Linked DNA regions of Ovis aries. The protein of the gene in region 1 purifies or fractionates together with the protein of each later gene. This does not show direct contact. Links are inferred from orthologs where the notes say so. Each region holds a gene or a part of one and is shown in the gene's direction. Other genes may lie near its edges. The genes, in order: WRAP53 and MDC1.

Evidence for each region.
Region 2: the proteins of WRAP53 (region 1) and MDC1 purify together in Homo sapiens (affinity purification with western blotting, with the first as the bait; 3 studies listed by BioGRID). This does not show direct contact. The link is inferred for Ovis aries from reciprocal best matches to the Homo sapiens genes WRAP53 and MDC1.

Annotation. Positions count from the first base shown.
Region 1 is NC_056064.1:27,214,827-27,218,636, forward strand, and holds part of WRAP53 (telomerase Cajal body protein 1), read left to right. Parts: intron 1-2,873; coding exon 2,874-2,962; intron 2,963-3,163; coding exon 3,164-3,254; intron 3,255-3,361; coding exon 3,362-3,494; intron 3,495-3,810. UniProt on the Homo sapiens protein: RNA chaperone that plays a key role in telomere maintenance and RNA localization to Cajal bodies. Specifically recognizes and binds the Cajal body box (CAB box) present in both small Cajal body RNAs (scaRNAs) and telomerase RNA template component (TERC).
Region 2 is NC_056073.1:27,423,949-27,427,758, forward strand, and holds part of MDC1 (mediator of DNA damage checkpoint protein 1), read left to right. Parts: coding exon 1-61; intron 62-146; coding exon 147-216; intron 217-506; coding exon 507-1,927; intron 1,928-2,716; coding exon 2,717-2,782; intron 2,783-2,947; coding exon 2,948-3,040; intron 3,041-3,796; coding exon 3,797-3,810. UniProt on the Homo sapiens protein: Histone reader protein required for checkpoint-mediated cell cycle arrest in response to DNA damage within both the S phase and G2/M phases of the cell cycle.

The DNA of each region.
Region 1 (3,810 bases):
TATTCTTTTTATTATTATTACTGGTGTTGGCAGTATGAGTATACCAGTTCTATCACAACCTCACTTATTAGCTATTTTCTTTTTTAAGTCTGTATTTCATTTGTGGCATTATTGTTTCTGTTTCATGTTTTGGTGTTTTGGCCTTGAGGCATGGTATTTTCATTTTTAACGTCTGAAAGTTTGGTATGGAAATGGATAACATTTATTTAGGTGGGGAAAGTGGGGGACGGTTTGGGGGTATTTTTGTGCATCTGTGTACTGCTTCTTCTCAACACAGTTTCCCAACTCCTCTCCTCCTTTTTCTACCTTTTCACAGAGCTTTCTGGAACTCCTATTTCTATGTCCCCCCCTCTTCCCTGAATACTCTGCCTACCCTGTGGCTCTTGCCTGAGGCCTTCCCTTTCCTGTACCTTCTCTAGGGGAGACTGTGCAACCTCTGTGTCCTACATATCTCGGGTTGGGGAGGGGGTGTCCTCATTCTCAAATGCTATATCCAGACAATTGCTTTTCTGCTTTGTAAAAACTGTTCCTTTGTGGCTTAGGCTGTCTGATTCTCCCTGACTTGCTGAGTACCTTGGCACCTCAGCTCTCTTCTGCATGCCATGTCTTTGTACCATCTTGGTGACCTTAGGTATCCAAACGAGAAAGCAGGGTCTCATCCTTTAATCCCCCTCTCCTAACCCCCACATCCAATTAATTACCAAATCCCATCAAGTCCGCCTGATCTTTCTAATTTATCCAGTTCACTCTGTTTTAATTCAAGGTGCTATTATTTTGGGCCTTATGTTATTGGGACAGTCTTCTGTTTCCATTTGCCCATTAAAACATTTGACTGCTGATTGTGCTGATTCCTCAGTAGGTGTTGGGGAAGCAGTGGTAAGTAAGACAGACATGATTCCTGCCTTTTGCAGAGTGGAGACACAGAAGGCATTTGGAACGTGGTTCAGGAGGAGGCTTCCCATGGGGACAAGTATCTGAGAGACCCAAAGGATGGCTAGGATTTGACCAGGAAGAGTTGTTGGGGGAAATGAGGGAAGGCTGTTCCAGACTTGGAGTCTAGTGTGTGTGAAAGCCTGCAGCCCAGGAATGCAGTGAGTTGGCATCTTCTCAGAGCTGGGAATCAGGATGGTGGAGTGTGGAGATGTTACAGGAAAGAAGGCAGGGGTGAGGGATGAGCCTGGAGAGGTGGGTGTGGGGTAGATGCCTGGTAAGGGAAGTCTTCCTAGAAGATTGGGTTTTATACTGAGGGTTATGGAGAAGCATTGCAATGCTTTGAGCAGGAGAATGATGCGGTACATGAGTCCAGGGCCTCAGTGTGGCTGAAGAATGGAAAATTGAGTGGCAGGTTAGAGTATGGGGAGGAGGGAGGCCAGGGCTGGCAAGAAGGTAGTGGCTACACGTGGAATCAGAGGTAAGGAGACATGTTCAAGTGAACCTAGGAGGTGGAATTGGCAAGCTCTGGCCTTGGATTGGACCAGGAGAGGAAAGGGCATGAAGAGAGTAGTAGTCAGGGTGCTCAGACTTCAGCCTTGAGAACCGGGTGCAGAGCCCAGGAGGAGCAGCAGATTCAGAGGCAGCAGAGGCTGGGTCTGTCCCGGCTAAACTGAGTTGAGGAGCCTGTGCGATGCCCTAATGGAACTTTCCTCCAGGCAGTCAGATGCAAGGGTTAAGAGTGGAGATGTGGACCTGCAGTCACAGCTGGGTGACATCACCCCAAGGGCCAGCAAGTAAGGGACAAAGGACTCGTATCCTGCTGATGTGAAGATTTCCTTTAAGTCAGTAAGTCGAAGACAACAACCAAGGAGAAAACTGAGCAAAAACTATGAGAAGGTGCCCTTAGAAGGAAAAGTGCCTTTACTGGTAATGAGAGATGCCAGTTTATATTGTAATGAAATACCATTTCACAGCCTTCAAATTGAGAAAAATATGGGAGTCTGGCAACAGCAAGAGGAGGCAGAGCAATGGGTGCTCCTACATGCCGCTGCGGGGAGAATAAATTGGGATGAGCACTTTTGGAAAAAAAAAGTGACACGATCTCGTAGAGTTGGCAGAGCACATACTATGGAGCCCAGTGGTTTCCCTCAGTAGCAGAAACTGCAGAGAATCCCTCCCACATGTGTACCAGATTGTTAAAGTGCACTTGCCAGAAACTGGAAAAACATCAGTGACTGTCAATAGAGAACGATGCGTGAATGGAGTGCTGTGAAGCAGGGAAAATGCGTGAATTCAAGCTAAGTTTGTCACCATAAATCTCATAATCACGATGGGACGCATGTAGCGTGGTACCATTCATATTAAGTTTAAAGGCAAGCAAGACCATGCTATATATTGTCTTTCCTCTATGAATATATTCCTAAAGAAATATACAAGAATGATAAATTAAGGATAGTGTTTCCCTCTAAAGGAGGATTTCATTGGGAAGAGGTTTTTAACTGTTTGGTAAAACATTTTGTTTCTTAAGCTGAGTGGAGGCCTCACAGGGTTTGGTTTGGCTTTGTTTTAATACTTCTTTGCTTGTTTGAACTGGTCGATAACTTTTGTAAAGGATCCAATGGCACCTGGTAGGTGGCTTGGTGGGTATTTGCATCATTGGCTGGTTCTTTGTCTCTGGGTTGGGGTATTATTTGTTTCTCTAAGTGTTGACAAAGCAAAAGGATAAATCTGTATGGCATTTAGTGGCCCAAGTCTGATGTGAAAGTCTGAGCTAGCCTTGAATTGGAAGATCAAGATCTTGTTCTTGTATTTGCCTGATGTGCCTTCCCCTGCCTGGTTAAGTGCCCACAGAGCGTCTCCCGCTGCCATAAACCTGCTCCAGGTCCGAGTGGGCCTCCTTGTCCTACCAGTGACCCAGGCATCTCCTCATCTCTGTCTAGGCCCCTGTCCTTCGAATGGTGGAAGGCGACACCATCTATGACTACTGCTGGTATTCCCTGATGTCTTCAGCTCAGCCAGACACCTCCTAGTAAGTGATGTCTTTTGCCTGCTTTCCCTCCCCACCCCCATTTTAAGGGGACCCTCTGCTGAGAGACAGCCAGGGGCTGTGGGGGTCTCAGGAGGAGGGAAGCTTGCTTTGACCTTCAGATGTGAGCTGAGAGGGCTGGTCAGTTGGCTTCCTCCCCTTCCTTTGACAGCACCGGGGCCTCGGTGTCCATGTCTCTCTCAGCGTGGCCAGCAGCAGCAGGGAGAACCCAATTCACATCTGGGACGCCTTCACCGGAGAGCTCCGGGCTTCCTTTCGCTCCTACAATCACCTGGTAGGGACTCTCTGCCTAGCCCCAGGGCTTGCCCTGGCCTAGCTCTCCTTCCTGGAGAAGGAAGAGGCTGTGCGCCAGGCCTGTTTCCAGCCCTTCCCTTCCCCCAGGATGAGCTGACAGCAGCCCACTCGCTCTGCTTCTCCCCGGATGGCTCCCAGCTCTTCTGTGGCTTTAACCGGACTGTGCGTGTCTTCTCCACATCCCGGCCCGGCCGAGACTGCGAGGTCCGAACCACGTTTGGTAAGCAGTCTACACCTCCAAGGGAGGAGAGAAAGGGGCCCAGCCAAGAGCAGAGGGGCCCTGTGGTCATGTGCGGAGGTAGGGGGTTGAGGGGTTGTTACCCTCACAGCCCTGGGAGGTTGTACCCAGTAGATAGAGGAGAAAGCAGACTCACGGAGGGCATAAAACTTTCCCAAGATCAAACTCTAGTCAAGAGTTGGTTCACTCCTGAGCCCCTCCCCTGCTGGTACTTTACCTCTTGGTTCCCAAAGTTTTAGTTTTTCCAAGAAACTGGAGAAGCTGATTCCGTTTGCCTATAAGTCTTAGCTTTCTGACC
Region 2 (3,810 bases), on another chromosome or scaffold:
GTACAGGGAGGAACTCAACCCTCCAGGCTTCTGTTGGCTGAGGACTCAGAGGAAGAAGTAGGTAAGTTTGTGTATCAGGAGGGTGGGTGAGGAGACAGGGACGGTGAGTGTAAAACTCTCCACTTACTCATTTCTACTCATGACAGATTCCCTTTTGGACAAGTGTGTGGTGAAAGGACCAAGGACCTCCTCTTCGGCAACAGTCGTTCCAGAGAGGTGAGTGTCAAAGGGCCAGGCATCTGAGTCTTCAGATGGATGAGGAAGCAGGGGCTGGAGGAGCCATCTCTGGGAGAGCTAATTACCATCAAAGTCTGGGCTGGGGAACCACACATACTCCTTCACTCAACTGAATTTTTACTGAGCGTCTCATGTGCCAACTAGAGAATTAATTGTTGGAGACAGAACAGCAAGTACTACCTTGCGTCTGCTCTCAAGGAGTTCCTACTTGAGTGGAATATCCCTTCTGGGGCAATCGATTCTATAGGTTTCTTCTCTTCCCTTCACAGTGATGAAGAAGGGCCTTCCCCTGCCCCAGATGGGCCCGGGCCACCTTCTGCCTTCAACTTGAACAGCGACACGGATGAGGAAGAAAGTCAGGAATCAGGAGCAGGGGAGGCCTCTTCAGCTGCCAGAAGAGGTACCGCTGCAGAGACGGAACAGCCTGAACCTGTCACAGCCGAGATCCAGATTGAGAAGGATCAGTGTTCCGTGAAGGAGAGGAACGGGGACACAGAAATCGAGAGGGATGTGAGGAATGGGGTGGTTCCGACTGGAGTGATTCTGGAGAGGAGCCAGCCTTCTGGGGAGGACAGTGACACAGATGTGAGTGATGAGAGTGGGCCTCGAAGAAGGCTTGTTGGGGTCCGTCCGAAAAGGGCCTGGTCTTGTAACTTCATAGACAGTGATACCGATGGAGAGGACGAGGGGATCCCTGCTACCCCAGCAGTGGTTCCCATGAAGGAGAGGCAGATCTTCCACGAAGCTGGTACACAGAGCCCCCAGGCACCTGGTGTGGCACGTTGGCAGGGGAGCCCAGCTGATGGTGATACAGATATAGAGGAGGGGGAGGCCCCCCCAGACAGAAGCCAAGCCTCCGTGGTGATCGACAGCAATACAGACGATGAGGAAGAAGTCTCAGCAGCACTGACACTGGCATGTCTAAGAGAGAGCCAGGCTGGTAAGTGGAACCGAGATCCAGATGCAGAAGAGACCAGGGCCCAACCCGTGGCCCTTCTGGAGCGAAGCCAGGCCTCTGCTGGGGGAGACAGTGACACAGATGTGGAGGAAGAGGGGCTCCCAGTGGAAAGGAGGGGAATGGTTCCCAAGGGTTACATGGACAGGGAATATTCAAAAAAGAGCCAGCACCTTCCCAGGGACAGTGATACAGAGGGGAAGGAAGATGAGAGCTCACCGGGGGTCCACCTGGAGAGAAGCCAGGCCTCTGCACAAGTGGAGGATGAGGTCCCACTGGGGCCAGCTGTTGCACTTCCGGAGAAGCGTCAGGTACAAGGCATAGTGTGGCCACATCACACCGATGCGGAGGCAGAAGGGGACCCGGCACAGCTCCCCGTGCTGCGTCTAGAGGAAGCCCGGCCTCCTCTAGCTGGGGACTGTGAACTGGATTCGGAGAACACATCTGCTGTCAGAAAGAGCCAGCTTCCGGCGGAAAAAGATGCTGGGACCACGTGGGCTGCAGCCGTTCCTGAACAGGACAGAGCACTTGCCATCGGGACCCAGGGTGGGTCATCCACGGCACCAGGGGAGCAAGACCTTCTCCCGGTCTCAAGGGAAGACCTAGCAGATATGGTGGTGGACATAGGCACTCCAGGGGAGCCCCAACCGCAGAGAGAGGGGGCCCAGACCACCACAGGAAGGGAGAGAGAACCATATGGGAATAGGGCCACAGACTCTGGAGACAACCTCCACGGTAAGTGCTGGCCTTTCTTCCTCCCTGGAGGTCTGCGATAAAGAATGCTTCTTGCTTCTAGCGTATCTTAGTTCATGTGAGCTGCTATAACAAAAGACCATAGACTAGGTAGCTTATAAAACAACAGAAGTTTATTTTTCACAGTTCTAAATGCTGGGAAGTCTAAGATCAAGATACCAGCAAATTCAGTGTCTGATGAGGCCCTGCTTCTTACAGATAGCCGTCTTCTCGTTATGTCTTCATATGGCAAAAGGGCCCAAGGGAGCTCTCTGGAGTCTTTCTCTCATTTTTTCTAAATGACTTTATTTATTTTTGGCTGTGCTGGGTCTTCCTTGCTGCGCTGGCTTTTCTCTAGTTATGTGGAGCCAAGGCTACTCTCTAGTTGTAGTACACTGACTTCTCATTGCAGTGGTTTCTCTTGTTGAGTATGGGCTCTAGAGCTCAGGCTCAGTAGTTGTGGCACACAGGCTTAGTTGCTCCAGGGCATGTGGGATCTTCCTGGATCAGGGCTTGAACCTGTGTCTTCTGCATTGGCAGGCAGATTCTTTATCACTGAGCCACGGCTGAGCCTGCACTAATACCATTCATGCAGGCTGCGCCCTCATGACCTAGTCACCTCCCAGTCACCTCCTAATGCCCTCACATTGGAAATTAGGTTTCAACATAAGAATATTTGGGGAGACACAGATTCAGGCTATTGCATAGGATTGGGGCTGTGGAGAGAACTATAGAGAAAAGGAGTTAGGATCAGCTCTGGTTTTTTAATTATCCTGCATTCCTCCCCACCAGATTCTGAAGATCTGGACCTACCAGCTACCCAGTGCTTTGTAGACAGAAAGAATCAGAGCCTGGAAGGTGAGGCCATCTTTGTTGTGTGGATACTGGTACAAGCAGGAGCTGGGAGATTAGATTGGTGGTCCTTGAAGGATGTGAAGGCTGGCATAGGCAGCAGAGAAGACTGGGAATGGGCCCTCAGAGTTCTGTGGAGGAGCAGTGCTCAGGCCATGCTTTTTTGTGTAGCAGCCCCCAGCATGGAGGATGAGCCCACCCAGGCCTTCCTGTTTCCTCTGCCCCAAGAGCCTGGCCCTTCCTGTTGCAGCTCCCAGGCCACAGGTATGAGAAACTCACGCCTCTTCTGTGCCCTTAACTTGGCATCCTTATTTCCCCTCTGTCCAGTTCAGTTCAGTTCAGTCACTCAGTCATGTCCAACTCTTTGCGACCCCATGAATCGCAGCACGCTAGGCCTCCCTGTCCATCACCAACTCCCGGAGTTCACTCAGACTCACGTCCATCGAGTCAGTGATGCCATCCAGCCATCTCATCCTCTGTCGTCCCCTTCTCCTCCTGCCCCCAATCCCTCCCAGCATCAGAGTCTTTTCCAATGAGTCAACTCTTCGCATGAGGTGGCCAAAGTACTGGAGTCTCAGCTTTAGCATCATTCCTTCCAAAGCCTGTCTTTATAGCCTTTGACATTTTTTTGCTGATGTTCCTCCATCTAAGCAGAAAAGAATGCTACATTAAGTCAGACCCAGAGAGCAACTACTCTAGCAACTAGCTTATTTTAATTTATGTATTTGGTTGCACGGGGTCTTAGTGGTGGCACACAGGGTCTTTAGTTGCAGCATGAGGACTCTTTACTTGCAGCATGTCGGATCTAGTTCCCTGACCGGGGATCAAACCTGGTCCTCCTACATTGGGAGCTCAGAGTCTTAGCCACTGGACCACCAGTGAAATGTTATGGCTCTCTTCCTTATTCCCAGCTTTCCTTTAATAACTCACTTAAATTTATTATGCATGAATTTGTCTTAATCTTTTCTCAAGCTGTTACCTCTTCAACCTACATCCCTCTCTCTCTGACTCTGCTTCCAGGTTCCTTGGATGAG